Diceros bicornis minor: one gene and its partners. The protein of the gene in region 1 interacts with the protein of each later gene in a pairwise test. Links are inferred from orthologs where the notes say so. Each region holds a gene or a part of one and is shown in the gene's direction. Other genes may lie near its edges.

What was found.
Region 2: the proteins of FAM161A (region 1) and MIPOL1 interact in binary tests that used the Homo sapiens proteins (3 or more experiments, as listed by UniProt). The two-hybrid records come from large-scale screens. The link is inferred for Diceros bicornis minor from reciprocal best matches to the Homo sapiens genes FAM161A and MIPOL1.
Region 3: the proteins of FAM161A (region 1) and VPS52 interact in binary tests that used the Homo sapiens proteins (3 or more experiments, as listed by UniProt). The link is inferred for Diceros bicornis minor from reciprocal best matches to the Homo sapiens genes FAM161A and VPS52.
Region 4: the proteins of FAM161A (region 1) and CADPS interact in a two-hybrid assay, tested with the Homo sapiens proteins (2 studies listed by BioGRID). The two-hybrid records come from large-scale screens. The link is inferred for Diceros bicornis minor from reciprocal best matches to the Homo sapiens genes FAM161A and CADPS.

What each region holds. Positions count from the first base shown.
Region 1 is NC_080751.1:25,471,972-25,480,147, forward strand, and holds the start of FAM161A (protein FAM161A), read left to right. Parts: upstream 1-5,176; 5' UTR 5,177-5,322; coding exon 5,323-5,520; intron 5,521-8,176. UniProt on the Homo sapiens protein: Involved in ciliogenesis.
Region 2 is NC_080744.1:12,475,338-12,483,061, reverse strand, and holds the start of MIPOL1 (mirror-image polydactyly gene 1 protein), read left to right. Parts: upstream 1-4,562; 5' UTR 4,563-4,754; intron 4,755-4,788; exon of another isoform or gene 4,789-5,027; intron 5,028-5,064; exon of another isoform or gene 5,065-5,640; intron 5,641-7,724.
Region 3 is NC_080753.1:31,184,117-31,192,356, forward strand, and holds the start of VPS52 (vacuolar protein sorting-associated protein 52 homolog), read left to right. Parts: upstream 1-5,106; 5' UTR 5,107-5,371; coding exon 5,372-5,461; intron 5,462-6,290; coding exon 6,291-6,375; intron 6,376-6,520; coding exon 6,521-6,573; intron 6,574-6,766; coding exon 6,767-6,842; intron 6,843-7,028; coding exon 7,029-7,096; intron 7,097-7,409; coding exon 7,410-7,585; intron 7,586-7,967; coding exon 7,968-8,118; intron 8,119-8,240. Other genes in the region: RPS18 (small ribosomal subunit protein uS13), read right to left, coding at 1-17, 151-242, 360-461, 541-627, 4,351-4,449, 4,872-4,928. UniProt on the Homo sapiens protein: Acts as a component of the GARP complex that is involved in retrograde transport from early and late endosomes to the trans-Golgi network (TGN).
Region 4 is NC_080741.1:62,198,975-62,207,051, reverse strand, and holds the start of CADPS (calcium-dependent secretion activator 1), read left to right. Parts: upstream 1-4,961; 5' UTR 4,962-5,470; coding exon 5,471-5,914; intron 5,915-8,077.

The sequences.
Region 1 (8,176 bases):
TTTACATGATGTACTTAGAGTAGTCAAAATCATAGAAGCAGAAAGTAGAATGGTGGTTGCCAGGGCTGGGAGGAGAAGAGAATGGGGAGTCATTGTTTAGTGTGTATAGAGTTTCAGCTATTCGTTCAATATATTTTAATATATAATTTATATTTATTTAATATATATTTTAAGTAGTTTAAAGCCACTTTATTAATATAATTATACTATATAGGGCCGGCCCCGTGGCTTAGTGGTTAAGTGCGCGCGCTCCGCTACTGGCGGCCCGGGTTCGGATCTCGGGCGCGCACTGACGCACCGCTTCTCCGGCCATGCTGAGGCCACGTCCCACATACAGCAACTAGAAGGATGTGCAGCTATAACATACAACTATCTACTGGGGCTTTGGGGTAAAAAAATAAATAAATAAATAAATAAATTATACTATATAAATATATATTAACTCATAGTAATATATTATTCTATAGATATATAAGTGAGACAGCCAAAGGTGGAAAATAAATACAAGGTATGAATTACTGACCTGGCCATAGCTTTAAAGCAAATTAAGTTCAGTTTCCTGTTCATGAAGGACTTGTCCAGACAGCCGCCATAGAGTCATTGTGACTTAGAATTGTCCATCTAAGGGTAAAGGAAAGAAATTAATTTGCCAATTTCTCGTCTCTCTCATTGGTCAACGCTTGTCCCAGGGTGTTGATTCTTGCCCAGTGCCTCCAGTCAGATGCTGGGGAAGCCAGATCTTGGGCCACTGGTTCAGTGCTTCATCTGAGTCTGGAAGTGGTGTAAGGAGCCAGAGCCTCCATGGGTGTAGTCAATGTTGCTTTAGCACAAGAGATGTAGACTCTGCTACTGCAGCAGGGAGCAAGAGGACCAGAGAGCAAATGGAACTAAGGAAATAGTCAGGTATCCTAGAGAAGAATTAGAGCCTTGGTTCTCCAACCTGTAACACATTAGAATCATCTGAAGCATTCTAGAAGCTATACTGATAACCAAGTGTTCAAATTATTTACTTCTGCATTAAAAAATTACTCCAAAACTTAGTGGCTTAAAAACCACTTAAAATATATGTTATTAAATATATTAATAAATTATTACAAGTTAAGGGGCCGGCCCGATGGCGCAAGCGGTTAAGTGCGCGCGCTCCGCTGCAGCAGCCCGGGGTTCGCCAGTTTGGATCCCGGGCGCGCACCAACGCACTGCTTGGCAAGCCACGCTGTGGCGGCGTCCCATATAAAGTAGAGGAAGATGGGGACGGATGTTAGCCCAAGGCCAGTCTTCCTCGCCAAAAAAAAGAGGAGGATTGGCAGATGTTAGCACAGGGCTGATCTCCTCACACACAAAAAATTATTACAAGTTAATGTATAATTATATAATAATATTATGTTATGTATTATCATACTACATATTAATATATAAATAAAATATACAATTTATATTTAATGTATATTTTAAGTGGTTTCTAAGCAACTATATTTATTTCATATGTAATTTAAATATAATTATTCTACAGATTTTATAATTTCTGTCATGAGTTCTTCTGTAACCTATGAATTGTTTTTTAGAAGTATTTTAAAGTTTCCAAACTGAAAAGGCTTTTCTAGTTATTCTTTAATTATTCTCTAACTTAATTGCATTAAGTGATCAGAGAATGTTGATTGTTTGATGTTAATCCTTTGAAATATGTTGATGCTAGCTTTATGGCTTAGTACTATGGTTACATTTTATAATGTTCCATGTGTTCCTAAAGTAATGTATACTCTCCAATTGTGTTTTTTTAATATATATATATTAGCTATGTTATCATCCAATAGCTATGTATTATCTAATTGTTAATTGTGCTGTTCAAATCTTCTATACCCCTTCATATGTACACAAATGTATCAAAGACTTCCACAGGACTGTTCACAGCTGCTTTATTCACAGTAGCAAATGTGGCAGCCATATAGCTGAGCTGCTTGGATGTCCCCTAAAGACAGGATCTGCTCTGAGGAGTGCAGTCAATCGATACAGCAGTGTGCTGGAGCCTGCTGGTACGGACTTGAGAGAGTTGATTGTAAAATTTTCAGCCATTACTAATTTGTTAAACACAGCCATTATTAAAAATTAGTTTTGCTAAATTACAATTAAATAATGTTCAAAACAAAGATAATTTCTCAAAACTCTTTACCTCCTCTTCTGTTACCATATTTTACTTATATTTATATGCTCTTGAGCTTATTTGCACCTACTATATCTCTGCAGTGAAAAACTATATAATGGTGTGCTACTGGACGTCCTTCCCCAAGTTCATGTTCAGTGATGTCACATTGGTAGCTTGGAATTGGCCTTGGTGGGAGTATTGACACCATGTAAATCAGCAAATGCTATAAATTGGACTTTTAAACTTAAAGTGATTGACAGGGAAAATGTTCATAATGCAGGAAAAAAACTTAAAATTGTGTGGTGCCTGTAGCCACTACATTGTGAATAGCACAAAAAATTAAGGAAATCTTTCAATATTAGAAAAGTATTTATTTCAGTGAAGAAGTTGCTCACGATATTGAAAAACAAGTGAAATTCTGACATACATTTTGATTACTTCACTTTCATCTTATTAATATAAGCAAAAATATCAACCAATATCCATGCTGGAACTACATTGTTAATCAACTGCAACCACAGGCTGGCTTCAGATACAAGAGTTCAGCAAAAACTAATGAAAGTATTCTGGGAGAATCAATTGTTTATGAGGAAGTCACAGTAAAGAGTATATTTTGATATTTCTAAGTTGTATGCTACAATCCTTTATATCACTAAAATTTACAATAAGTGTGTCATCACACACACAAACACACACACACACTTTCCCCCAGAGAGTCTCTCAGTAACCATTTACCAGCATACCAGCACTTGAGGATTTTTCACAGTGTTCCATCTGAGAACATGTTCTTCCCAGGGAGCTCTAGCCAATGATTGAGATGGTAGGGCTGGTAGGGTCTGGCCATTTCTGCCCATCGCAGAACTCCTCTATGAGCAATCTTAGCACTGGAGCTCTCTTTTTAACTAGCTGAGACTTTCTCAGAGCTGCACTGCAGTTTCAACCTCCTCCTACACAACATTTTCCCTTCCCTCTCTCCTTTCTAAGGTGTCAGATCGTATGTTGGCCTGAAGACTTTCCTGCTCCTCTTCCTTTTTCTTTCACAGGAATTTTGCCCAGTAAATCTCTTGCACTTCTAATTCCTTCTTGGTGTCTGCTTCCTGAAGGACCCAAATTGACAGCCAAAAAATGGAAACAACCCAAATGACCATCAACAGGTGAATGGATAAATTTAAGATAGTGATAAAGACAACGTTAATAGTGCAGATTAAATATGAGTATGTCTTGTCTGTTACATTATGAATAGCACCAAAAAATGAGGAAAATTCTTCCAGTATTGGAAGATTATTATCTCTTTAAGCAAAGAATTCTATTCAGCAATTAACAAGAAACAGACTACTCATATATACAACAACATGGATGAATCTCAAAGAAAAATAACAGTATGCTGAGCAAAAAGAGTACATATGGTATGATTCCATTTATATGAAGTTCTAGAACAGTCAAGGGGATGAATGGGGAACAGACTGGGAAGGGGTACAAGGAGAATTTCTGAGATGATGGAAATGTTCTATATCTTAATAAGGGTATGATTTCATAAGTGTATGCATTTGTCAAAATACATCTATCTATACTTTTAAGATCTATTCATTTCAGTGTATATGTTCCATCTCAATTCAAAAGCGCAAAAACAATTCTTCCTATAATGATGTAAGATGTGTCATTTTCTTCTTGTGGATCTGTCCATTTCTGTTCTGTATACTTTGAGGCTATGTTATCAGATATCTGCAAATTTAGAATATTGCTGGTGAGTGGAAACTTTTCTGCTCTTCTACATACACACACATCGTGTCCTCGACACTCATTCCTTCTTTTCTATTCTATTCTTGCCTAATCTTCCATTTGCAGTGCTTCAGCATGTAGACCTCTATTGCTGTTTTGGGGTCAGGTTTGTACCTAATCCCAAGAGGGGCACATGCAGCCACAGAACCAGCTGCATGTGAAAGACCGGAAGTCCCTACTCTGGTCACTTGGGGTGTCCATACCTCATGGGCTTCCAGCTCTGGCTTCTGTTCAGAATCCAGCCAGCATCTGTTCCAGCGTGCGAAGCAAATCTCAGCAAAAACAAAGAGCAGCCTGAAGGAAGTGGGAGAGTAGGGGATTTTGCAGGTGCTCACACTCCAGACCCGCGAACAAGAAAGGCTTAGAAACAAGAAAGGCTCAGACCTCAGAGATGGGTTCCAGACGGGGTACGCATGCTGCATACCCTAACTTTATGGTGGCAATGGCTGGTTGTAGGGTTGTAGGTCCGGGGGCACAAGGAGGCTGAAGAATAGAGAGGGGGAGGTTGCAGCAGCCTCAGCCTCAGAAAGCAGGAGCTTAGGTAGCAGGTGGCTGAGACTGCACCTCATCTGCTCTTTTAAGGCTAGGCCTCTCCTACAGGCACGCGGCCTAGCGGGGAGGCGCCATTTGAAGCACCCAAATCTCGCGCGGGAAATGGTGGTAGGGTGAGGTGGAAATGGAGTGTGTCTGTGGTTACTGGTGAGCGCTTGCACCCTCCAACCCCACTACTATAAAGCTGGTGAACCCAAGCAGCAAACGCCCAGTTCATACAACTGTACTGTCACTCACTGGTGGGTGGGCCAGGCTCCACCGAACTCTGGCTTTTATTGGTCAGGGCAAGAAGAACACGAGTGGGATAACTAGCAGCCTCTTTCGGATTGGTCGATTTCTGCTAGCTCTCAAGTCAATCAGAGAAAAATGTACTCCTTCCCATTCTCTGGCTCCCGGGGGAACCATGTTAGGTAGCAGAATGCAAACCTTGCCGCTGTTCTGAGATCACCACACAATAGCATCCTCTGCTTTCTCCTGCCGCCGCCATCTCCTCCTAACATGTTATTTCATGCGCTCTTTTTTGCACAAAACGATCTGTTTCATGTGAGAAGTCTACGTTTAGGCGGTGAGGCGAGAAACTGGGGAAGAGGTGCTCTGTTCCGCCAGCCGACCCTCTAAACCAGCAAAGACTGAGTAATGACTCCTGTTATCCAGGAAGCGCCGGTCTTAGGTCTCCGGCAGCGGGAGAAGAGTTTGAGTGACTTTTGGCCCCTCGCGGCCCCTGTAGCGTCCCTAGTTACCGCGCCCCTCGCAACCGCCCTCCTCAAGCAAGGAGCCGCCGGGTCGCCTGAGGCCACGCCAGCTTCCCCGCCCCGGGCCAGCGCGGGCGCTCAGGCCTCGGCGGCGAGGTGATGGCCGCCTCCCATTCAGGGGCGAAGCCGGTGGCCTGCAGTCTCCAAACCCTGGGAAATCTCAACACCGGAGCGCGGGTCGCCCAGTATGAACGCGAAGACCCCTTAGAGGCCCTGGCGGCGGCGGCGGCGGCCTTGGAGGAGGAGGACGAGGAAGAGGAAGAAGACGAGGAGGCGGTGCGGCCGGCGCGGGCGCCGGTAATGCAGGGGCGGGATGTGGGCCAGGGCTGGGGGCCGGCTGAGGGCTGGTCCGCGTCCGCGCTGGGCTGAAGGACGGGCTGGGACACGCGGCGCCCTGTCCAGATTCTCCCTAGCCGGCAATCCTTGCCCACCACCTTCTTTCTGCCCCCGCGGAAAATACTCAAAACCGAGGCTTTGAAAAGTCTTTTAATTTTCACCAAAGAGATTGTTGAGAGAGCATTTACTTTATTTCTAGAGAGTGCAAAATACAGAACTTTACTCCTTATGCTCTAGCATCTGTTGGGAGTAGATATTTCCTTTTTAACTTAAGGAAAACTGATCTACCCCATAGTGGATAACTCATAAAAAAAATCAGGTGAATCAGCTGTGCTGTCAGCTGTGTTTTGTTGTCACCTAAAGTCTTGGTTATTAGTGCATCTTAACACAATACATGAGAGGCAGTGTTTAAAACCATCAGGAGTTCAGTGGGTAAATCAGACACAGATGTAGTTAAGCATCCAGAGAAGCAAATTACTGAGTTTCCGATGTTTCCTAACCAGCTCTTCAGGCTCGAGTGAGAGCCTTTTCACTAATCAATTTTCAGTGTCAAATGTGTTGTGAACACCTGTCTGCTAGGTAGAGGGCCGAGTCTGCCATCTGCTCTATTCACTTAAAAGATTGGAACCTTGAATTTTAACTAGCAATCTGCAGATATAAACCTCCTTACCCCCAGATAAAGATTCTTAATACTGTTTGTCCAAAGCTTCTCATACAAAAAAAAACATTATGGTCTAGGGCTAATAGAAATGACTGGATATTTTGGAATTCTAATCTCTTTACACTAAAACTGTTAATGAGAAAATCTGTAGCAACACCTTTTAATGTCAATATTTCAGCAACAGACATAAACTACTTGAGGTTATTTAGAGTAAGGCAGGTTGAGACCCTGAACCTGAACCAGGCTCAGAGTCCTAGGACCTTTTTCATTCATGATAAAGTTTCCATTCAACACAAGTTTTAGTAGCCAACAAAGGGAGCAAAGTCATGGAGGAAAAAGATTTGAATGGAGGAAAAGAATTTGGAGTCCTGGATTAGGATCCATTCTCTGCCATTTGCCAGATGATATTAAGATGTAACTTCCTTCAATCTCAGTTTCCCTAGGTGTAAGAGAACTATAATAATTGTCTCTCTTTCTTGTCTCACTGGGATGTTATGAGAACCAAATGAGAGAATGTGTGTCATATGTAAAGATCAGTTTGTATAAATTAGTAATAATAAGAACTGCCAGTGGGCCTGTGATTTGAACAACTTGCCCAAAGATTACATTCTCCTTTGGCTTACTGTGGTAGAGGAGTCAGTCATTTCTCTAGTTCCACGTATAGAGTGCCTTGCTAAACTGCAAATTTGTATTGGAAACTTATTACCTTAGGAGAGACTAGTTTATATAATGAGCTAATTTCAAAGGGACAGGATCTTACCCCCCAAAAACAAAGCTAAGTCTTGTGAGTTTGTCAGTGTTCTGAGACCACCACACTTGAAGGATCCAAAAGCAAACCTGGATAAGCTGCCACAGTAAGCCTGATAGCCAGAGGACGCTGGGGCTGGGGGAAGATGCACTGAAAGACAGGAAAGAGAGTGCAGGAGCCAAGCTTTGCCTTCTTCACAGTTTGCCTTGGGTCTCCACCTTGACTTTTAAAGGTTAATTTGTCTCAACTTTGTCATCTATAAAATGTAGTAAACTCAGATGCTGTAGCCACTACACAAGACTGATTAGAGAACCAACTGTCCCAGGCCCCTTTCAGTCCTTTGGTTTCCCAAAGACAACTCCCTCCCCACTCCACACACACAGACACACACACACACACACACACACACACACACACCGTTGCAGGACTCTCTGCCCGTATTGGGCCCTGAGGCATGTTCCTTGAATCTAGCCTCAGTTGGACATATCAAGGACATATCATAGGCCTTGTTGTGTGACTGATGATGACTTGGGCAAAGCAACATTCTATAATTCGCTGTTAAAATTTCACTGACTCTCCCAACAGGGAGGCCTTCTCTTTTTCAACAAATTTTCCGCATTTAGTAAGTCACTGACTATTAATAGTCACTGACTATTCAGTGGTGAATGAAGCAGACGTAGTCCACATCATCACAGAGCTTCCAGTCTGCTGGGGAACTTAGACAATAAAAAATCAACAGTCAAATGATTATAAGATGGGAAATGTCGGGAAAGAAATGAACAGGCTACTATGATTAAAAAAGGAAGTTGGAGGGAACTTACTTAAATGAGTTAACATTTAAGTCCATGCCTGATAGATGGGAAAGAGCAGCCATTTGAAGAGTGGGGGGTGGGGAGGCATTCCGGGCAGAGGGAACAGCGTATGCAGAAGCCCTAAGATAGGGACAGAAAGAGCTTTGTGTGATTAAGTATCTGAAAGAAAGCCAGCAGGGCTGGAAAAGAGAGAAGGAAAGAGGGGAGGAGATGAGGTTGGAAAGGTAAGCAGGGCCTGATCATTCAGGGCCTTATAGACCAAGGTAAAGGGTTAAGTGTTTATTCTAGGTGCAGTGGGAGGTCCTCAAAGGCTTTTAAGAGATATGACATGTTCCTATTTACATTTTTAAAAGATGACTCATGGCTTTGTGGAGAATGATTGGAGGGTCTGACAAA
Region 2 (7,724 bases), on another chromosome or scaffold:
ACTGGACACACATTCCACTCCTTTCTCTCCACAGGGAGAAACTGGGAGTTGAGGGTTTCTTCCCAATCAAGTCATGCTGGGGAGTGGGTCACTTGCAAGTGAGTGCCTTGAATTTTCCTACTGGCCTTTGATGAAGTTGGTTTCACACTTGCCTTGGGTGCAAGAACCACTTAACTGGTTTCAGCTTTTCTCACAAAGGCAATTGGTCCATGTATTGTTGTTAAATTTGTGTCTCTGTGGGAGAAGGAGGATCTGAGGCTGCCTATTCTGCCATATTGCTGATGTCACTCCAGATTTGAATCCTGTTAAATGAATTTATATTTGTTTTATGGCCTAGATGATGGTGTGTTTTGGTAAATATTCCATGCAGATCTGAAAAGAATGTGTATTCTGCTGTTGATAGGTAGAGTGTTCTATAAATGTCAATAAGATAAGTTGGTTGATAGTGTTTTTTAAGTCTTATATACCTTTACTGATTTTGTGTCTGCTTGTTCTATCAATTATTGAGAGATCAGTTTGAAATCTCTGACTATAATTTTATATTAATTGTGGATTTCTCTCTGCAGTTGTAACACATTTTGCTTTATGTATTTTGAAGTTCTGTTATTAAGTGCATAAGAAAGAGAATAGTGGAGGACAGGGTAATGGACACTGAGATCAGGAGAGAATTGAGTTCAATATTTAAAATATTACATATATGATAACTGAAAATGAAGCATGAAAGTATACAGATTGAGAAGGAAGAAATAAAACTGTCTTTGTTCACAGATGACATGATTGTCTATACAGAAAAATCCAAAAAAAATCAGCAAAGAAAACCTCCTCCTGGAACTAATAAGTGATTACAGCAAAGTTGCAGGAGACAAAGTTAATATACAAAAGTCAATTGCTTTCATATATACCAGCCATGAACCATTGAAATTTGAAATTAAAAATACAATACCATTTACATTAGACCAAAAACAATACTTAGGTATAACTCTAAAAGTGGACAAGAGCTATATGAAGAAAATTACAAAACTATGATGCAAAATATCAAAGAAGATTTAAATAAATGCAGAGATATTACATGTATATGGAAAATAAGCCTCAATATTGTCAAGATATCAATTCTTGCCAACTTGATCTATAGATTCAATGCAGTCCCAACCAAAATCGAAACAAGTTTTTTTCTGTGGATAATGAAATACTGATTCTAAAGTTTATATGGAGAGGCAAAAGACCAAATAGCCCATAAAATGTTGAAGGAGAAGAACAAAGTCAGAGGATTGACACTACCCAACTTTAAGACTTACTATAAAGCTACAATAATCAAGACAGTGTGGTACTGGTCAAAGAAGAGATAAATAGAATAAAAAGCCCAGAAATGGACCTACACAAATATAGTCAAGTGATCTTTGACAAAGGAGTAAAGGCAATTCAATGGAGAAAGGATAGTCTTTTCATCAGATGGTGCTGGAACAACTGGACATCCACATGCACAAAATAAATCTAGGCACAGACTGTACATCTTACACAAAAATTAACTCAAAATGGGTCATAGACCTAAATGTAAAATGCAACATGATTAATCTTCTATAAGATAACATAGGTGAAAATCTAGGTGACCTTAGATTTGGTGATGACTTTTTTTTTTTTTTGGTGAGGAGATCAGCCCTGTGCTAACATCTGCCAATCCCCTCTTTTTTTGCTGAGGAAGACTGGCCCTGGGCTAACATCCGTGCCCATCTTCCTCCACTTTATATGGGACGCCACCACAGCATGGCTTGCCAAGTGGTGCATTGGTGCACGCCCGGGATCCGAACCGGCGAAACCCAGGCCACCGCAGCGGAGTGCGCACACTTAACCACTTGCGCCACTGGGCCGGCCGCCGGTGATGACTTTTTAGGTACACATCAAAAGCACAATCCATGAAGGAAAAAATTGGGAAGTTGGTCTTCATTAATATTAAAAATTTCTGCTCTGTTAAAGACACTCTTAAGAAAATGAGGACTAGCCACAGACTTGGAGATAATATTTGCAAAACACATATCTGATAAAAGATATGTATCCAAAACATACAAAGAAATCTTAAAACTCAATAATAAGGACACAAACCACCCACTTATGGACCAAAAAATAAAAAATAGGCAAAGATCTGAATAGACATCACATCAGTGAAGATATATAGATGGCAAATAAGCATATGAAAAGATGCTGAACATTATGTAACATCAGGGAATTGCAAATTAAAACGAGATACCCCTTAGAATAAAAATCTCTCTTTATATATAAATATATAAATCTTGTTGTTTCTGTTTCTCTGGAGAACCCCAACTAATACACATGGCATTCTCAGCTACTAATGTGCATAATTTTTATTCATTACTTTATTTTCTAGAACTCATTGTAGTGCCTGGCACATTGTGGGAGGCTGATAACATATGTATCCACAAGAGTATTCAACATCTTGCATTCCTTTGCTCCCTGTAATGAAAAGAGATTCATTTTCTTTTTCCTCTCATCCTACGTCCATATTTCTGTAAAAGCCCAACTTATAGGACGGATGAGTGCACAGACAACATCTTTGATAATTAGCTTGAGAAGAGAAAAGAAAGCTCCAATTGGTCTCTCTCATTTCTTGTAGACTAGCAACTGTTAGCAGGACAGAGAATGAAGAAATGTATATGTGAGTGATGGTGGTGGTGGAAGAGGGTTGGGAAAAAATTAGCTGTTGTGGTCTGAAAAGTTTAGGAAAACAGCATTAAAATAAACAAACACATAGGGACAGAGATTGGATTGGTGGTTACCAGAGGGGAAGGGGGGAGGGAGGAGGGTGAAAGGGATAATTCGGTACATGTGTGTGGTGATGGGTTGTAATTAGTATTTTGGTGGTGAACATGATGTAATCTATGCAGAAATAGAAGTACAATGATGTACACCTGAAATTTTTACAATGTCATAAACCAATGTTACTGCAATAAACAAAAAATTAAAAAAAAAAAAAAGAGTTACCTCAGGAAAGCTGGAGGAAGGACTAGGGAGAAAAGGCCTAATGTTTGAGCTCATTGAATAAAAAAGGTGGAAGAAAAAAACAGGTTACTGAAAGAAAACATGGATTTTCTCTTTACCCTGGAGACTTTCAGCATCCAGATGAGCTTTAAAAAACTAGGGTTAATGTACCTTTACCCAAAGAAAAATAGTATGACTTTCTCTAAATTTAACCTATTAATTAATTATTTGGTTTGAATTATCTCAATATAGTGTTCACCATCCCCCCTTATTTCTTGCTATTCCTTAGCCAGAAAAAGCAATTTTTCCTCCTTTTACATAGAAGTTGAGCTGGCCCTAAACCTTTCCAAAGTCATTCTTCCTGATTGGATTGCCCTTCCCATCTATTCTGACAAAAGTATTCCACTCCTCTTTTTGTCTCATATTTTTATGGTACTTTGTATTCACAAATATCTGATTCAGACCTTGACTGAAGTAAAAAAATGCATTTCAAAGCTGAATCTATAACAAACCTCTTTAGAGCACTGTGCATTCATTACAATATAATAACTAAGAGTTTGTGACTATTATAACCTATTTTGTTCCAACTAATCTACATCCAATTTTTCATGTCTTTTTTCCTGCTCTTTTTCACACTTACTAAATGTAACTTCCTTTCATTAACTTTAACCATTAACTTGGGAAACCGTCAACACTTCATATTATGCCTAGTCTCTGGAGATATGTAAAAAACCATTGTTGCTTATTATTCAACACCCAGAAGAGTACCTGGCACACAGTAGGTGCTAAACAAATATTTGTATCTGAAGGAGTTAACGTGACATTTATAGACGCAATACTGATCTCTGAAACAAGAAAATCACATTCAAATTACTAGCAATTATGCCATTCCGTTCTTGTTTCAACACGGAGGTACACAAATTGAGGGCTTATTTTTTTTGTTTAATTCTGGAAGGTTCAACATCTTGTCTTAAAGAATCTATACAGTGAACATCCAGATCTCTTTCGAGTACTTAAGTCAAAGAGGTCACCGCCTGCAAGTTTTAGTACGAAACGCTCGCTCTTTGGCCAGGAGCTAGGTACCGCTTTCTGCTCATCCAACTGGAGTTCACTTCGGCCCTTTTCATTCAACCATCACTTGGCAACACGCCGCTGTCCTCTCCCGGCGTCGCATCCCCACTCCTCCTCTCACTCCAAACCACACACAAGACGGGAAACCACAATTCCCCCAGCTCCGTGGAGACTCGACAACGCCCAAGTCGAGCCACAAGACGCATTTTAACCGCGTTTTCCCTCCTTTAACCAGACTGGGTTTTGTCCGGGCAACATTTGCTCTCGGAGAACGCGCCCTTCGTTTCAGACAAGCGTTCCGCCCTGCCGGAGCAGCCGCGTTACACTAAGACCGCCTCCCTTCTTCCCCAAACTCCTGCGACGACTTCCAAGCTCGCTCCCTCGCCCGGAGGCCCCGCCCCGCGGCCCTGGCGGCGCGGCACGCGCATGCCCGGTGCGCGCCGCCTGCCGCGTCCCGCGCCCGTTCCGCCTCCGTTCCCCGTGGGCCCCCGCGCGCGGCGTGCGGCTGGCTCGCGTCCCCGCCGCGCCCGCCTGCTCGTTTGCGGGCGCGCGCACCTCCTCGCTCTGGCGAGCCCGGCCGGGAGGCTCCGAGCGCGCGGCGATTGGCTGGCGTGGGGGCTGCGCGTTGGGCCTGAGAAACTCCGGGCGGGCGCGCAGAGTTGGCTGCCGGGTCGGTGCGCGGCGCGTCTCAGGTAAACCGGGAGGCTGGGAGGCTTGGGCGACCGGAGAAAAGTCGGGGTGGGCTTACCCCAGGCCTGGAATTTCCGGCCGCAGCCTCCCTGGAGAAGGAGAAGGGCCGCGCGGAGTCTGCGCCCGGTGGGTACTGGCCCCGTGCGGCCGGGAGTGATGGGGCTCCCTCGAAGGTCAGCGTCGTGGGGTTCTCAGTCCTCTTTCTGGGCACGATTTCGGCAAACTCCCCAGTTTCCCACTACAAGCGTTCAGCAGCTGGACATTTATTCAAGGCTGTAGGTTTTTGTTTCTTTTTCCCTTAAGTCGCGGTGAGTTAGAGGATTCAGGTCCAGGCTCAACCTGTGGTTGGCTCTGTGCCCTTGAGAGTCGCTTAACCGCTTTGTATTTCAGTTCTCACCCTTGTAAGTTTCGGCGGCACGCTGAGCTGTGCTTTAGAAAGATACTGTTAGAATGCTTTTGGTTCGCAATGTCTAGGGCCGCCAATTTTCTAACTGGAAGGTGACACCACCCAACAGTATTTGTGAAGTACTTTAAGCTCCATGGATGGAAGGAACTGGATAAACACAAGATAGCAGCATTATTAGGGTGGTGGAAAGAAACAGCTTTCCACAAGAACAAGCTTTTTGAAAAGCTCCTTTGAACATTTTATGCAGATTAAATCACAGTGTTAGTAGACAAAGCTAAGCCTAAACAAAACTACATTTCAAGGAGGGTTTATTTTTCTTCCCCAGATAACTTTAACATACTATCACAAGTTATTCGCCTTTCGGAGTTTCTCCTTGGGAACGAGTGTGGAACCTAAAATGATGGTTATATAATCATTTGGATATCCTATGCAATTGTATACCAAGAAAATTAATTAAAACAAAGCTGACTTTTCTATATAAGGTAACAAGAATTAAGATATCTCATTGCTGAGGGGTAATGATGGCAAATTAGAAAAGTGAACGGCAGATGTGCACAATTTTCCTAAAAAGGCATAGAGTTTATAGAAATCTATTTAGTGTGTTAATTTTTAAAGTATAATAGACATACAGAAAAGTGCATGAATTGTAATTGTACAGCTCACTGAATTTTTTACAAAGTGTACGTACCCGTGTATCCAGTCCCTGGATCAAGAAAGCATTGCTTGCATCCTAGAAGTCCTACTTTGTGCCCCCTTTCCAAAGGTAACCACTATCTCCATTTCTTTTTTCTTTTTTTTTTATTTGTGAGGAAGATTTGCCCTGAGCTAACATCTGTTGCCAATCTTCCTCTTTTTGCTTGAGGAAGATTCTCCCTGAGCTAACATCCATGCCAGTCTTCCTCTATTTTGTATGTGGGACACCGCCACAGCATGGTCCGAGCCGGAGATGGAACCTGCGAACCCCAGCCCCTGAAGCAGAGTGCCCAAACTTAACCACTACGCTACTGGGCCGGCCCCACTATCTCTATTTGTAACATGATCTATGAATTTACCTATTATTGGTTTTATATAAATGGAATCATATGGTGTATAGTCTTTCGTGTCTCACGTTTGCTTAGTACTGTGTTTGTGAGATTTATAGTTATGTAGTATGTATGAGTTATGTAGTAGTGATTTGTTCTCATGCTGCGTAGTATTCTTCCAGGTTTTGGCTATTACCGATAGGGCTTCTATGAACATTTTTATAAGTATTTTGGTGAACATGTGTATACATTTCTGTTGTATATATATCTACTAGTGAAATGGCTATATTATAGGATATGCAGATAGGTATTTCTGGTATACAGTACCAAAAAGTTTTTCAAATTAGTTGTGTCAGTTAACACTCTTAATAGCAGTGTTTGAGAATTCTGGCTCCTCCAAATGCTTGCAACACTTACCATTGTTTTTTTCATTTTAGCCATTCTGGTGGGTATATAGTGATATTGCATTGGGTTTTTTTCCCCTAATTTTCCTTAATAACTAATAACATTTAACACCTGTTCATCTGTTTATTAGCCATTTGGATGGCCTCTATAGCAGGGGTCACCAAATTTTCTGTAAAGGGCCAGATAGTAAATATAGGCATTCCTTGCTTTGTAGAGTTTCAGTTAACACAGTACTGTGTGAAGCTAAGCCTGTGTTTTAGGCTTTGCAGGCTGTATACAGTCTCTTTTGTACAGTCCTCCCTCGGTATGCGGGGATTGGGTCCAGGACTCCTGTGGATACCAAAATCTGCAGATGCTCAAGTCCCTTATGTAAAATGGCATAGTATTTGCATACAACCTACAGACATCTTACCATATACTTTAGATCATTTCTAGATTACTTATAATACCTAATACAGTGTAAATGCTATGTAAAGAGTTGTTATACTGTGTTGTTTAGGGAATAATGACAGTACAGATGCAACCATCAGAGGCCTTTCCACTGGGTATCGGTTGAATCCGTGGATACGGAACCTGCAGATATGGAGAGCCAACTATATTTTCTTCCTTCCTTCGTTTCCTCCCTCCCTTCCTTTGCTTTCCTTCCTTTTCTTCTTCCCTCCTTCCTTCTTTCTCTCCTTTTCTTTTCTTTCATTCTTCCTTGTTTCATAGTTTGCTAACCCCTGCTATGTTGAAAAATGACTGCTCAAAAATGACTATTCAATCTTTTGCCCTTTGGTGGTGGTGAAATCATTAACTGACATGGGCTATATGGAGAAGTATAAATACATAGTAGTATTAGGTAGTGTGCGCTCTAGTGTTTTGGGTTTAAATTTCAAATCTCTAAACATACTTTCTTTGCTTTTTACCACCTTTACCTCAAGACTAATTAGAGACCTATTTGAGTCTTCTCTGAGCTGTCCCTGATGCTCCTGCTTTCTCCCATCCCTTAAAACTGGGGGAAAAAGGAGAGGTAAGAAGTGAGAAAAGAAAAGAGGGATGCATATCCAGTCAGCTCTGGACACTGAGTGAAAAATTATACAGAAGCATAAAATACCGTTTGCAATACTTTGAAATGGATATTGTCTTTTGAGCTGTTC
Region 3 (8,240 bases), on another chromosome or scaffold:
GGCCTCGGACACGAAGTCTGCAGGTGAGAAAAGAAAAGGGTCACAGGTCATATACAACACAAAGAAAAGGTGGGGAGAGAAAATGGAGCCAGAGAAATCTCTGAGTCTTAGGGGCGGGCAGGCAGGATGAGACTCCCCACCCCTACTCACCCCCAGAAGTGGCGCAGCCCTCTGTGGGCCCGAATCTTCTTCAGTCGCTCCAGGTCTTCACGGAGCTTATTGTCCAGACCATTGGCCAGGACCTGGATTTGGAAGAGAAAGTGAGAGATGTGTTTTACCCCCTGACCTCCTATGACTGCCCAATTCCAGCTGGACACCCCGCCTTCCATTTCTCTAACGTCTCCCATCTCAATACACACCTGGCTGTATTTTCCATCCTTCACATCCTTCTGTCTGTTCAAGAACCAGTCTGGGATCTTGTACTGGCGTGGATTCTGCATAATGGTGATCACACGTTCCACCTGGCAGGCAAGAGAAGGGTCAGATCCAGATGCCCCCCTTCCGAGGTAGGCCCAACCCACACCCCCTTCCTTGTCTCACCTCATCCTCAGTGAGCTCTCCTGCCCTCTTGGTGAGGTCGATGTCTGCTTTCCTCAACACCACGTGAGCATATCTTCGCCCCACGCCCTGAGGAGAGGTTTTGGAATTGGGTTTGATTCTGATTTCCTTTATAGCCCCTACTCCAATCAAAAGCATAGAAAGGTAGGGCCTGCAATAACCTAGTGCTTTATACTTTCCGGATTGCCCCTGCCCCGCCCACTTTCCCAGATATGAAGCCTAACCATTACACAGAAAGGAGAAAAAGTTTTGTTCAGGGGCAGGGCTGGACCATGAACAGAGGATAGCTGATAGCCCCTTGAAAGCAGAATCTTTTCTTTTTTTCACAATGCCCAGCATACGCAGTTGTCAATAAATGCTAGCTGCTAGACACTGCAGCAGCACAGAAGAGGGGTACCTTTCAATTTCCTGCTGGAGGACAAAGGGCCTGGCTCTCGAAGCTGATGCAGCATCAAAGCAGCAACCCTTTTAACAGGGTTGAGCAAGGGGTAGGATTGTCAATGGCTCAGGGTCTTTAAGCCTCATGATTCTTTGGTCAGATCACCACATCCCCAGGATCCAAGTTCTCCAAGATCACAAACGATTTTGTTAGTGCCTGGAGATGACCAGGCCCTTGGAAGCTAACTGCCCAAATCAAACTCAAAGGAAACTAATGCTTACACTAGTGGCATCGTATCGACACCAACACTGTTACTCTTTGCCACCGAACTCATGAACCAAAGAGATTTGGACAGTGAAGGATGGTGTGCTGGGTTTAAGTGTCCCTAACCCCCTATATATGTCCACCCGGAAACTCAGAATGTGAACTTGTTTGGAAATAGAATCTTTACAAATATAATTAGTTAAAATGAGGTCGTACTGGATTAGAGTGTACCCTAAATCCAGTGTCCTTACAATAAAACGAGAGGACACACAAGACACAAAGAGAAGGCCACGTGGTAACAGAGGCAAGAGACTGGAGTGATGCAGCTCCAAGACAAGGACACCAAGGAGTGCTGGCAGCCGCCAGAGAAGAGGTGAGATGGATTCCTCGAGCCTTCAGAGCAGCATGGCCCTGCTCACACCTTGACTTGCGATGTGTGGCCTCCAGCACTGAGAGAACAAGTTTCTGTTGTTTTAAGCTAACAAGTCTACGGTAACTTGTTCTAAGAGCCCCAGTAAACTAAAACAGATGGTACTTCCTAGAAATAAGAATGTGACCTAGGAAATCAAATTATCAGGAGGTAGATTCAGAAAAGATTAGGGTCTAAGTCTCTCTCAAATTTAAATATTTACAGAAGCAATACTATGTCAGAAATACATCCTTTAAAACGAGTGGATGGGGAAGGGTGTAGATGAAACAAGATTTCTAATTTTTAGCTAGATGATACATCCATGGTGCCAATAATTCTCTTCCCTCTACTCTTGAATGTTTCAAATTTTCCACCAGCAACTGTTTTAAAAGTTGCTGTCAAACTAAGATTTTGAAAGTCCTGTTTACTGACTCCAGAGATTGGCTGGACAATTTCCTAAGTTAGATCCCCAGATCCACTGTTCTCTGCCCCAAGAACACTCCTGTTCTCTCCATCCAGAAGAGTGCACTACAGGGAACCATCACTTTCTCATCTTCATAGTCCAAGGGTCTGGAACATATAACAGTAGAGTTGATACCAACTTAATATTACTCTTGGAGTATTTAGAGCACTGTTACTCATGGGGGCACTGGCACTTTGGCAGGACAAGAATTCCTTATAAACAAGGCCAGCAGGTATGATGTTCCAGTCATTGTGACCAACTCCAAGCCCCTCCTCCCATGTTTCCAAATAATCCACAGATGGCAGTTACTACCCTGATTTAGAGAAAGGGCAGAAGACCAGCCAGCCTTAAAGAATACTCATAGCAAAGCCTCTAAGTGGAAACAAAACAATGAGGAAGAGATCACGGCATAAAATAATCTTGCAGGATCTGTATTACCTCTACAAAACGCCCTCTTCTGCTTGGGTCAACTTCCACTCCATTCTTCACCCTTCCCTGGCCAATTAACCTTGCTTACCACTTCTTTAATCACATCTTTTCAGGAATCCCCTCCCCACACTCAGCCACCACCCCCAACTTTCTTCCAATTTCCAAGTATTATCTCCCATACCACATCCTTAACAAAAGACCACCTCTACACTTTAGTTCTCTCACCAGAGGAAGAGCTTGCTGCAGTTGCTGGCTCTCCAGGTAACCAGCAAAAACCTCAGTACTCATCTATCTCTAGGAATAACCTTTCCCAGTGAAAAGCAGGGCATCAGGATCCCAAGAGTCTTCTTATCACAGTGCTCATTAAGTACCTGAAACTGCTCTGACAAAATTGTTTTAAGCTCACTACAGAGGTTATGACGTTTAATTAAACTAACAAATACAAAACCAGTTAATTTCAAAGAGGTAGAGAGAAAGGACTTAACAGAAGCATCCTATTAACTATGCTCATCTTTTAGATTCACTATCTCACTTAGGCCTCACAGCAACCCTTGAAAAAGGTACTGTACTTTCCATGGCCTTACTAGTTTCAGAATTACAGAAGGACGCAATCTCCTTATACACCATTTAAGAGCAAATGAAAAGGGCCAGCCCAGTGGCTCAAGCGATTAAGTGCGTGCGCTCCATTCCTGCGGCCCAGGGTTCGCCGGTTCGGATCCCGGGCACGCACCAACACACTGCTCGGCAAGCCATGCTGCGGCAGCATCCCATATAAGGTGGAGGAAGATGGGCACGGATGTTAAGCCAGGGCGAGTCTTCCTCAGCATAAAAAAGGAGGATTGGCAGACGTTAGCACAGGGCTGATCTCACACACACACAAAACAAATGAAAGCTATGCTTCCTGCAGTATAGAATGAAAAATTAAGAAAATCTAATTAATGTTGTAAGTCAAAGCTGGGATTTAGTTTTAAATTAACTTATCTATAAAATATTTATCATGGTTTCCTCTAAATTCTTTGAAACCAGGCCACAGTATCCCTAGTAACATCCACTCCCTAACACTGCATGAGCACCTATCATGCACCAGACGTTGGGGATTCTTCACAAGACAAGCCGATCCCCACCCCCACTGGTAGGAGAGGAAGACGTTCAACCATTTCCACAACTAATCACACCTATTTAGGGGGGGTAGATAGAATAATGTCTCCATCTGGAAGACCAGGAGTTCACTAGGTTGGTGAAGGGAGATCCAACCTTGCACTCAACCAACTTAATTCATGCAACAAGCCAAGTACTAGTTCCTGTTTCTGAAACGGGTACGACTTGCACCTCTGGCATCTGAGTCAACATCCTGCTCCTGATTTAGTGACCCCCCTCTCACCTCCCAAATATACGTTTCTTCACACTTGGAATCTGTTGGCATTTCTACTCACCCCTCAAAATGTACAATTATTCAATTTCCAGGGCATATAAATTTCACAGAAAGGATTACGGGTGTGATGGGGGGCGGGGCAGAAATCTACAATGGACCTCACAAGCTGATTGATGGCTCATGGTCCAGGAAAATTTTAGCAAATTCAGGTAGAACACCAAATCTACTCCCCATCTCCTAGGTGGAATATTTTGGCTTGACCTGAGACTATTCCCTGGCTTTCATACTTACCTTTTAGGGTAAACGTGGTATGGGTTTAAGGGATTTAATCACTCACTCATCCAGTCTCTTTTTTTTTTTAACCCAGTAGCCGAGGGGATCTGGTTGGGACTTATGTTTCCTCTACCCTGCCTCACTAAGACTTAGGTCCTAACAACCCGTTTCACTTATATTGTCTAGTTCTTACCCTGCTTTACCTTAATGGCAGTGATGGCAAAGGCTATTTTCCGCCGCCCATCGATGTTGGTGTTGAGTACTCGCAAAATGTGCTGGAACTTCTCAGGGATCACTAGAGACTGACAGAAATTTGGGGAGAAATCAGACACCGTGAACTACCACCAAACCGTAACCTCAAACAGGAGCGTTACGCTTGTCACACTAGGGGCCACGACTGCCCTTCAGGTTTTCACAACATAGCCAACTGCAGTCCTGCAGACAGCAGGATCACGAAGTGCTCAGGCTGGGGAAAATGCAACCTCTGGGAAGGGGCAAGTCTCCTGCCCGATCCCAAAAGTACTCTGAACGGCGGAGGCCGGAGGTCCCCATACACGCCCAAACTTTTCGCGGCTTCCGAGCGCCCGTGGACGGACTCTTCCTCTGGCCCCACTCCCAAAACTGGACGTCTTTAGGCGTCCCTTCCCAGGGGCACGATCCAAGGCTTCGCGCAGAAAGCTGCAGACCCCCAGAACGGGCCGTTCTCGGCCCCCCGATAGCAGACCTTCCCAGCCCCGGTTCCGATGTCGCCGGATCCCCGCACGGATTCCAGTCTTACCATGGCGGCAGACCTAGCAGCGGCGTGTAGGCCTCCTGTGGAAGAGAGAACGGAAGTGACGTAAAAGCATTATATAGTGACCAGGCGGAAGAGGCGGAGCGATCTTGGTGCAGCGCTTCCGGAAACTGCTTGTGCGCGAGCAAACGCGACTTCTGCGAGTCTGAATTGGGAGCCACAACTTCCGGTGCGTTCTCTCGTTACAGTTCGTCAAGATCTTGGCTGTGAGAGCAGCAAAGGTTCCGGCGTGAGATTGTGTTTAAGACTTCCCATTCCCATTTGCACTCGGATGAAGTGGTTAGAACCGAAAGGGGGAAGCTGGAGTCAAACAATTAAACTCAACTATCTGGGAACGATTTTGCGCTGTGCAAGACGCCCCAGGACTTGTAGTTCCTGTCCCGGGAAGCGACCCGCCGGACTGACAGCTGCCGGAAGTGAGGCTGCGCGGAATGGCCGCCGCCGCGACGATGGCGGCCGCCGCCCGGGAGCTGGTGCTGCGGGCCGGGGCCTCGGATATGGAGGAGGAGGAGGGCCCACTGGTGAGAACGCGGGGCGGTTCCCCTCCGGAGTCTCGGCCGGTCGTCCTCGCGTCAGAAGGGCCTGGGCTGGGTGTGGGACAAGTTGGGAGCTCGGTTGCTACCGTGATGATGCCTGGATTGGCTCCCCATACCTCTCCCTGTCATCGGACCGGAGCCTGAGCGGGGACCAGAATGGCCGAGACTGAGGATCCGAGGGAGCAATTTCAATTAACCTCCAGATTTGGGGGGAGAACAGACAAGCAGTGTAGTATAAAGGTTTAGAACATGCCCTCTGGAGCCAGACGGCCTGGGTTCTAATGCCTGCTCTGCGCTTACACACTGTGTCCTTGGCCGAGTTAACCAGACTTTCTGTGCCATCGCTTTCCACACCTGTAAGGTGAAGAAAATAAGAGCTACCATATAGGGTGTCGGTTAGGATTAGATGAGTGAGTATTTGGAAGATGGCACCGGGCATGCAGGTAAACACTATGTGTTAGCTGACGTTTCGAGAAAGGCTAGGGCTCCCCAGAGGGATTATGATAGAACACCTAAGATAGCAGGAGTCTGGGGATGCTAAATTCAACTGCAAGCTCTGCTCTGTCCTCTGCATCTCCTAATTTTCCTCATCTGGACACCTCCACACTCTTTGTGGGTTGCCTGTCTCCTTGTCATATTCCCTACCCATCAACCCCAAGGAGTAGATTCGGTACAATGTGAGACTCTTAGAATTTTTTGACTCGGTGCCTATGGCATCCTGTAAAAGCCCCGCCGCGAAGGATTGGGGATTATCCCATTATATTTTGTTTTCTCTCCTCCATGTATTCTCTCCCTTTAACCTGTCCCCCTCCAGGGGGGTGGTCCTGGTCTTCAGGAGCCATTGCAACTCGGAGAGTTGGACATCACCTCCGATGAATTCATCCTGGATGAAGTGGACGGTAAGGGATGGCACAGGGTGGATGCAGCGCCTATAATCTGAGAGGCGTGGGGGCTGGAAGTAAAAGGCAGCGATGGTGTGCAGATGTTCAGTGAAGGGAGAGGGAGCTGTGGAGCTGGACCCTTATGATTTACTTCTATTTCCAGTTCACATTCAGGCGAATCTGGAGGATGAGTTAGTGAAGGAAGCTCTTAAAACGGTGAGGCTTTCCACTATACTAATCTCCCACTAATTCCCTCCACCTACCCTCCCCTCAAAGAAAAGAAAAAGAAAACTGTCTCTTGCTCTTATAATGTCACCTTGGTGTCTTCCCCTCTAGTCCTTCGTCATTTCTGTTCTAGTTTCCCTTCACTGTGACTTCCTCCTGACCTGTCGTGTTTACATTCTCCCAGGGTGTGGATCTCCGTCACTATTCAAAGCAGGTTGAGCTGGAGCTTCAGCAGATTGAGCAGAAATCCATTCGAGATTGTATCCTCCAGCAGAGGAAAAGGGGGGTGTTATTAAAACGGATTTTGTGGGATGTGGTGCTGACAGCCCATGGGGCTGGCATCTTCTCTCGGAGGTTTCTGTCACCTCAGGGAGAAAGTGGAGAGGTTGTGTGGGTCTGAGCATCTCCATCTTCACAGTGAGGCCCCTTGACTTTTTGTGGGTCAGATATCCAAGAGAGTGAGAACATAGCCTCGCTGCACAACCAGATCACAGCCTGCGATGCTGTCCTTGAGGTTAGTAACCATGACCTGGGACCCCCAATAACCCTGAACCTGAACCCAGATCATGGTCTCTGGTGCCATTCTCTGGGTCTCCAGCCTCAGGGGGGACAGTTAGAGTCACTTTCAGGATGACCTCAATAGACTTTTTTATTGTTACTACCGTAACTAATGTTATTTGCCGGTGACCTTTGGGGTACCTCCTCCCTCATCACCCACTGCCCTCATGGACTAATAGATACTGGAGACTTAACGAAGAAACTTAGGTGGCCCACTTGTCCCCTACCAACCCTGTGGCCCTCCAGCAACATCTCCTGCCCTCCTGCAGCGCATGGAGCAGATGTTGGGAGCTTTTCAGAGTGACCTCAGCTCCATCAGCTCTGAGATCCGGACACTGCAGGAACAGTCAGGAGCCATGAACATTCGGCTTCGAAACCGCCAGGCAGTTCGGGGGAAACTTGGGGAGCTTGTCGATGGTCTGGTGGTGCCCTCCGCTCTGGTCACGTGAGTCACCAGTTTGAAGGGCCACAATATCTATGGCAGGTAGATGGGCTGGGGTGGCCTGCCCTACTTACCACATGGGTCTCCTGGCTCCAGGTCATCAAGTGCCTTCCAGAAACTGATGAGTGGGTTGACAACTCTTTCTAACACTGATGCATGCTTTAGGCATCAAAGATTAGGAATCACCAGGGTCAGGCATGTAGTGAGGGGGTCCAAGGCTTATGGGGGGGTGGTTCAGGAACAGAAAACTTTGTACCCATGTCCTGACTGTGTGATACAGTGTAAGATGGGAAGAGGAGACAGGCTGGATGTAGGGGGTATGGTTTGGAGTCTAGGGATGTCTGGGTCTCCCTCCTAACCCAGCTCACCCTTTCCTGCTATTCAGGGCAATTCTGGAGGCGCCAGTGACAGAGCCCAGGTTCCTGGAGCAGCTGCAGGAGCTGGATGCCAAGGCGGCCGCAGTCCGGGAGCAGGAGGCCAGAGGCACAGCTGCCTGCGCAGATGTCAGAGGCGTGCTCGACCGGCTCCGGGTCAAGGTGGGGAGTGGGACTGGATACTCTAGAAACTACTAGAACTAGCTTCCCTGAGACCTTCATCCTGGATTTCCCTGGCAGAGCTCATTGTAGCTTGCCCCCAAGAACTTCACCCTGCCTTTACT
Region 4 (8,077 bases), on another chromosome or scaffold:
AGTTGACTCTACTATGGAAGAAGAGTCAGTGTCACCCTTAGGAGAAGAGGAAGAGAAAGAAGGACACTCTTAGGAGCACAGCCCAGGCCTTAATCTATCAACTTCCGTTTTGCTAGTTTGATTTGGCATGTAAGTGACTAGACCTGGTTTAGAGCATTTCTCCCGATGTGTCTACCTCTATTGACCCCGACCCAGATCTACCACTTGATGGGACCCATCCGTACATTTTCATGTACTTTCCCTTTATTCATCAAGCCTCTTTTTCCTACTCACTTTCTTTCTCCAAAAGATTATATAGCCAAAAGAACCATGTTTTAGAGTAGCCTGAATTGAAGGAACTCACCATTTTATTTAAAATTGAAAACAAACTTGTTAATGTGAAAATACCCTGACTTCAGTCATTCTTATCTACAATCTCAGAAAGCCTCTCAGTGTAAAGCCAGTGTAGTTTGTAAAAACAATTAAATACAACCCAGATAATCAACCTAGAAAATTCTTTTGAGAAGGTGAAGATATAATGGTAGCAACATTTACCAAAGTAATCCCAATTGAAGAATTGGGCTAATTAGGCAAATTATCTACCTAATATCTTATCATGTGGAAACAGCTACGTGGATGCTTTTTTCCCGTTTATTTGCTGGCATGTTGCTGTATCCCAGAGTCAAGGCAAAAGATTCTATCCTCCACTTTGTCCCTGTAAAGACCAGCATAAACTGCATTTCAATCTGTACCACATCTAGCTCCTACTTCTATGAAAAGAAGTTGTATACACCAGAAATGTGATTACCCTTGTGAATAGTTGGTTTTCAGAATTCAAGTTAACTATTTATTGTAAAATACATCGTTCCATTTTTCTTTTTCATCTTCTTAATTAACAAGGTGGTTTTCCAAGACGAGTTCCTGCAAGTAGTATTATTTATCATTGCAAAACATGTTTTGTTGCCTGGACTGAAAGAAGATGTTTTTGTGTGGTTTGATTCTATTATTTTCAGTCTTATGATTATCCTTTAATTCCATCCTAACTCACTCCATTTTACTTTAGCAAGAATTATCATATGATAAAGAGTAATGATGAAGGGTAGATTTCTCAAGTAAAATAAACCATAAGTCCCATAAAATACTATTTAAAATAAGACAGGGATCAATTAAATAAATAAGCAAATATTCTATTATTCAAGGATCTATTTCTGGATTATTTGATCTTTTTAATGTTGTTTCTCTGTCCAATTATTTGTATCCAATTTCTGGTCATTTCATTTATTACAAGTCCTTCTTCCACCAGTTGAAAAAATGTTTAAAACTAAAATCTATTGAAAAACACCTTTTTTTTTTTTTTTTGTGAGGAGATCAGCCCTGAGCTAACATCCGCCAATCCTCCTCTTTTTTTGCTGAGGAAGACGGCCCTGGGCCAACATCCGCGCCCATCCTCCTCCACTTCATATGGGACGCCGCCACAGCATGGCTTACCAAGCAGTGCGTCGGGTGCGCGCCCGGGATCCGGGCCAGCGAACCCCGGGCCACCGCAGCGGAGCACGCGCACCTAACCGCTTGCGCCACCGGGCCGGCCCCTATTGAAAAACACTTTTAATACAACATTTAATTTAATTTTATTGTCATTCCAAGGGAAGTGAGTGCTACTATCGCTCATTTTACAGATGAGGAAACTGAGTTTGAGTCATTAAATAATTTTCTCAGAATAACTCTGCTATTAGGTGCCAGAGATAGAACTTCTTGGGTTGAGAGTCCAAGCACTTAAATTGACATAGGCATACCATAAGGTTCAAATTTTTCCTTTTTGGTGCCTGTGAGCTATTCTTAAAATTAAAAAAATGTTGATTGGATGAGATGATTACATTTAGATACTATGAAATTTATTGTGAGATAAAAAAATTACTTAGTCAAACTATCTTCTAGTAACAAACACACAAAAACATTAAAATGGGCATTAAACTCAGTTTTATTTGATTGAAACATGTTATATGAGTGACATAAACAGCGATTGTTTTTCATCAAAGTGTCTATCAATTGCCAACACGTCAGATATTCCCTCCTACTTGTGGCCTTTTACACAATGACAGCAAATGCTTTGGAGGAGAACGGAGATAATCTAAGCCTAGACTAGAAAACCCTGGTTTAGCATCTCAGTCATTTCCATTTCCCCTAGACTTTGCTTTTAGTGGGTGGGATTTAAAAATTCAATGTTAAAACTTCTACTCACGATATAGTCTCCAGATGGCTGACTAAAATTTATTCCATCACCTTGGGGTTATTCAAGTTTCCTACAAAGCAGAACTGGAGGTGGGGGCAAACAAGCAAGTACCTAAAATAGCTTGTTTGAGGATATAAATACTTACGTGTATCAGAACCTATGGTAGAATTGTACTCTTTAAAATAGGAATATGGATGTTAACAAAAGATAAACACATGTTAAGAGCCTGTGGATGTGTTCTGGGGTTATTTTCTTCCTTGTTCATCAAAATTTGCATCTAGGAAAGCCATAACTCCTGGTTAAGATGCCTAAGGAGTTCTGGTTGACATTTCTTATTTTCACCAGTAGCAAAGACTTATAATATCTCCAAGGATACTGGATTGACTTTTAGCTAAGGTAAAAGATGTCTTTGAGAGGATGTACATTTTAAAAGACAGAAATGCACACCATTTGAAAAAAATTATAAGTATTTCTAGGAAAATCTGCTTAAGTCTCTTTGATTGAACACTCATGGGCGGAATGAGAAGAGTGTAGGTTTACCTGAGCAATGTTATATTTAATACCCATCATAGGTTTATATGATTAACCAAAGGCAGATACTGATTTTATGTTTTAATGAGTATAACTGGGGAAAAAAACGCCACATAACTACAAAGGAATTTGTAAAAATACAAAACTAAACAAATCTTTATTATAGCGATTGAGAAATTCCAAATGGTTCTGAAGACAGAATTCACGGTCACTCTTCTACCAATGCCTAATGTGATAATACTTAAATGCCTAACCTTGCTTAGAGAAGAAATATTTAATTAGTAAATGGCCTTTATCTGGCCTTGAAGAGCACCTCCTCTGCAAACCACATGCTCCCTAGCTAATAATTCATTTCTTTGTGTCCTAAACATGATCTCCCCATTTGGCCAAATGGATTATTATTTCAGCTCTTTTTTTCCTCCTCGATTCACCCTTACCTATCCACACACCATCTCCACAACACTTATACCTTACTTGGTCCCTTGTCTTATCACTGTGGCTTTGCAAATCACTTTATCACTTACAATATCTTCCCTTTTCATCATCCATTCATATGATTCCTTCCTTTAAAATTTAACTCTCTTTGAGAAATATATGATTCTCTTCCATTCCCAACTGCTTCATTCAAGCCAGCTTTTAGGGGTTTACTAACTTGGATTTGTTGGTATGTTGCCTTGAAATAAGTGCTGTCAACCTTTTTCACGTGTATCTGTTGTATCTCCCAAAGGAGATTAGAGTCTTTAAGAGAATGTCTTCCAAAAATTCCATCCACCACAAGCACCTAGAACTTCATGTTCATTCCACTCACTCCACAAAAAGGTGCTGAAGGGCTGTTGATTAATTGACTGACTGGCCTACTGTATTTTCTGTTCCAGGGAAACGAGTACAACATAATTTGAACATCTTTTACTCCTTTAGAAGAATTAAAAAGTGAAGATTGCTAAATTGTAACAATTTTCACATTGCTGGATTATTTAAATTGATACAGAATGCATGATGGCCACAGAAGTTATGTCCTTCAGGTGAGTATGGTGGTGAAGTCAAATATAAGCCATACATATATTACTTAATTTAAGAAATCAAATAGGATTTTTGGAGTTAATGTGAAGTGAGATGTTGTTTTAAGTTCATTTTTAGCTCTCAAACAGATTAGCTAGAAAGCTTCACTTGAATACCAAAGCCTACAGTAAAACTCATGGTAAATTTGAAAATACCTAAAGACAGACGTGATGTAAACTTTAAATTCATGCTACACTTTTACAATAAATCCTACGAGTATCTATGGATAACTAGAGCATTAGAAAATAAATATAGGAGATAGGGTGGCGGGGAGGTGGAGAGAGGTCTCTAGATAGCCTAAGATCCAAGGGTGGCGGGGGTCGGTTTGTTTTCAATCCATCTGCGGGTCGCTGATTAGATTCAGCACGCTGGCCAGCTCCCCGGTCCGCCGGGTTTATTGGCCTAAGTGAAAAAAGCAGGGGAAAGGAAGGCACCATCTGCTGCTTTGAATTAATAGATAACCGAGGAGCAGAGATGAAGACAGTGCAACAGAGTCAACGCATTAGATGGTGATGCCGCTGAGTTCTTGGGGTGTCTTTGTCTGATCTGGAGGTCCCCCCTCCTCCACCCAGATCTCCCAGCGAGCCAGAATGGAGGAAGGGCTGAGCAATGAGAAACCCTTCTATTTCTCTGGTAGGCTTACCTCAGCAGAAAGTATTCCCAGTTCTTGGAATTGAAGAATGTTCATAATAGCTTTTGCGGAGGAGACAAGGGCGAGGGTTCTACTCAAATAGTTGAGCTGCATGGTCGATACATCAATCCGCTCAAAATTTGATTCACTTTTATTTTAATGAGAGTGGACGTATGTAAAGTAAATTGCTGGAATCAGAGTTTACACAGGTGGGATAAACACTCTGCCCAGCCCCACTGCCCCCACGCCCCAGGTGTGAAGAAACCTGGGGACAGGAGATACACTCTTGCTTTCCCGTACGGGATCTCGCCGACTTCCTCTTAGTGAGACCTCTAGATTTAGCGTCTCCAGACAGACAGTCCACTCTACGCTGACAAAAAGTCATCACTGGTTTGTCTATTTCTTCCTCCCCCAAGAACTTTTTGTCTGCGGGAGGAGGAGAGAGGTCCAGGCAGTGAGACCTGGGGATCAAGGAGGAAATTATCCACAAAAGGGAGGGGCTGATGGGGGTGGGAAGGCGTTCGGGTCAGTACCGAAGCTCTGAGACTTTGCGGAGGCTCCGCGCTCTCCCCCCTCCAGCCCTCTGCAGCCACCCTTTACGCCGCGGACACGGGAGAGTTAAGCCAATAAACACGTAAGCGCCGCTCCCTCCCCAATCGGCAAGATGCCTCTTCGGCTCTTGGCTGCATCGACAGCTTGCAACACTCGGCATCTTTTCTGGAGGCGCCTTCTTCAGCGGCTGCAGATGGCATCCGGCTGCGGGCTTGGGGCTCGCAACTGATTCTCCCCCTTGCCCACCTCGGGTCCACGGACACACCTCTCCCTGTCCCTCCTCCCCTCGCTCCTGGGTCTGAGCCCAGCTCCAGATCGCCAGGCGGAAGAAGCAGTCGCGGCGGCCGAGACTGAGCAGCAGCGCGCTCGCTCCCCGAATTCGGGAGAAGAGCCCATCCGGGAGAGCCGACTCCCAGCTGCCTCCGGCGCCCCCCACCTTTTGCACCCCAAGCCGGGGGCTCCAAGGACCCCCTTCCCCAAACGCCACCATGCTGGACCCTTCGTCCAGCGAAGAGGAATCGGATGAGATCGTGGAGGAGGAGAGTGGCAAGGAGGTGCTTGGCTCGGCCGCGTCCGGCGCGCGCCTGTCTCCCAGCCGCACCAGCGAAGGCTCGGGCGGCGGCGCCGGGCTCGGAGGCGGCGGCGGTGCTGGCGCCGGGGCCGGAGTGGGAGCCGGTGGTGGCGGGGCCAGCGGCGCGAGCGGCGGCGGCGGGGCCGGTGGTCTGCAGCCCAGCAGCCGCGCCGGTGGCGGCCGGCCCTCCAGCCCCAGCCCGTCGGTGGTGAGCGAAAAGGAGAAAGAAGAGTTGGAGCGGCTGCAGAAGGAGGAGGAGGAGAGGAAGAAGAGGCTGCAGCTCTATGTGTTCGTGATGCGCTGCATCGCCTACCCCTTCAACGCCAAGCAGCCCACCGACATGGCTCGCCGGCAGCAGAAGGTAGGTGCGCCTGCGAGGCCCAGGGAGCAGCGCCGGGACGCCGCCAGGCGGGCGGGGCGAACAATAGGAGCTGGCGGTGCAGCTGGCGAGGAGGAGGAGGAGACCGCGCCCTGGGGAAGGGGCTACGAGGCCCCCTCTCCGCGGCCAGGCCCGGCCCGGCCCAGCCCAGCCCAGCCCGGAGCGCGCCAGGAGCTACCTGGGACCGGCGAGGGGCCTGGAGCGCAGTGCCGCGTGCTGGAGCCTCCCTTCCCTGGAGCGCCGGGGAGCAAGGCGGGCAAGTCCCGCTTTGTGGCCCAGGAGGCTCAGGGAGTGACTTGCAGCCCACAGCGCCCAGAAAGGCCTTGCTCGTTTCCTGGGCTCCCAGCACTCTCCAGCGGCGGGCGGCTGCGCTCAGCTCCGGGCCCGCCCTCCTGGGCGTGCGCTCGGCGGGCGGGGGCACCCGGCAGGTGGGGGCGCCGATGTGGAGCGAGGAGAGCGCCTCCGAGCTGCGCTCAGGCTAGCCTGAGCAGAGAGCAACCCCAGGGGCAGGCGGAAGGAAGCAAGCCTGGAAGGCGAAGCTTCCAGTCACACTGCGAAGGGCACCCTCCTCCCCTGCCCAGGTCGGCTGATCACCGACTAGGGTTGCCCAGGGGTCCTCGGGCACCGCTTCCCTCTGGCCGGGGTTCCTTCCGATCTCCCTTCCCTTTCCTCACTGACCCCAGAGCAGGGGCACGCCCTCTGGTCCTGCCGGGGTCAGCCCCTCTACCTTCCTCCCTTTGACTCTCTTCTCTTCCCAAGGTGACTTCGCCGCCACCTTCTGGCTCTCCGAGGCCCTCCAAGCCCCGCCGCTGCAGGCTTGATAAAGTGCAGCTGCAAAAAGCCTCACAATTATAAACATCAAAAGCTTTTTGTGTCTGAGGCTGGGGCAAGGCTGAGGCGGCTCCGGGCTGCCTTTGATATGAAAAAAAAGCATCTATTTCTATCAGCTGTTCTCTAGCCAGAGAAAGGAGGGGGCGGTTACTAAAAGATGAGAGGCAGTGGTGGGGGTCCAGAAGAGAAGGGGTCAGGTACCCGTTGGAGTGAGTGAGTTAAGAAAGTCAGCCTTCTATTTTGTCTCTTTTAAATGAATCTGCAGCTCTTGGGCTCTCAGAAAAGCCAGTGAAGCCCCCAGAGGGGAGTGCGAGAAGCCAGCTCTAACCCCATCGAGGTGGGGTTTCTTAAAAGTGAATTTCTCCGTTGCTGTCATTTAAGACTGAATTATATGTTGCTGTAGTCGGGTGTTAGGTTTTCCTATATTTATCCACCCTTATCTTGAGTTAGCACAGATTTCTCTGTTTGTTTTGCTAATATGTGTACACACACCACCCAGCACTGGTGGTTTATTTCAGCTATCACAAGCCTGCCTATCAGTTTTATTAAAAATAAAACTCATTTCCTGGTTGAGAAGTAGCAGGTGGGCTACATACTCCACTCTCCACCTGGGTCAGTGGCCCCTTGCCTTTTCAACCTGTATATTGGACTACACAGAGCAAAAGCATCCTCAGAGCAGTAAGTTTTTTGGATACTCCTTTAAGGTTGGGTGTTGCGTCCACAGAATCTGATATTTCCAATTTCAGCTTGGAATTATGATAATTGTGTCTTTATGGCAGGGGAAATTCCATCTCCAAAATCTATCCTATTAACAGCACCAACCCAAGATGTCCTATTCCTTTGGCAATGAAAACTGTTGTGACTTAAAGAGAAAATAAAAAACAAACTTCCCTTTATCAGTCGAAGGCTCTAGAGCTGTGTCATTTAAGTGGATGCTTAAATCCAGCACTAGAATGGGTAAAGAAGTCTATTCTCGCAGAGACACCCTTCTTCTAAACAGAACCTTCAGCCACCAGGAAAGATCATTGCTAGGCTAAGTTTCTCTGATCCGATTGTATGTTTTACCTGAATCCATTGAAAGCTGTGGTTTTTGAGGAGTAAATGAGTTCTGTTTTTACACATGACCTTAACATCAGAGAGACTCCAGGACAGATTAATAACACTAGCATTTGGTCAAACTATTTTTAGTTATTGCTGCAAACTAGTGCTAAATACATATTCTGGCAAAGCTACCTCAGGGCTGTTGGCCAAACTGAGAAGCTGAATATCTTGCTCCTTACTACAAAAGAAAACAAGCTTTTCCATTGCTATATC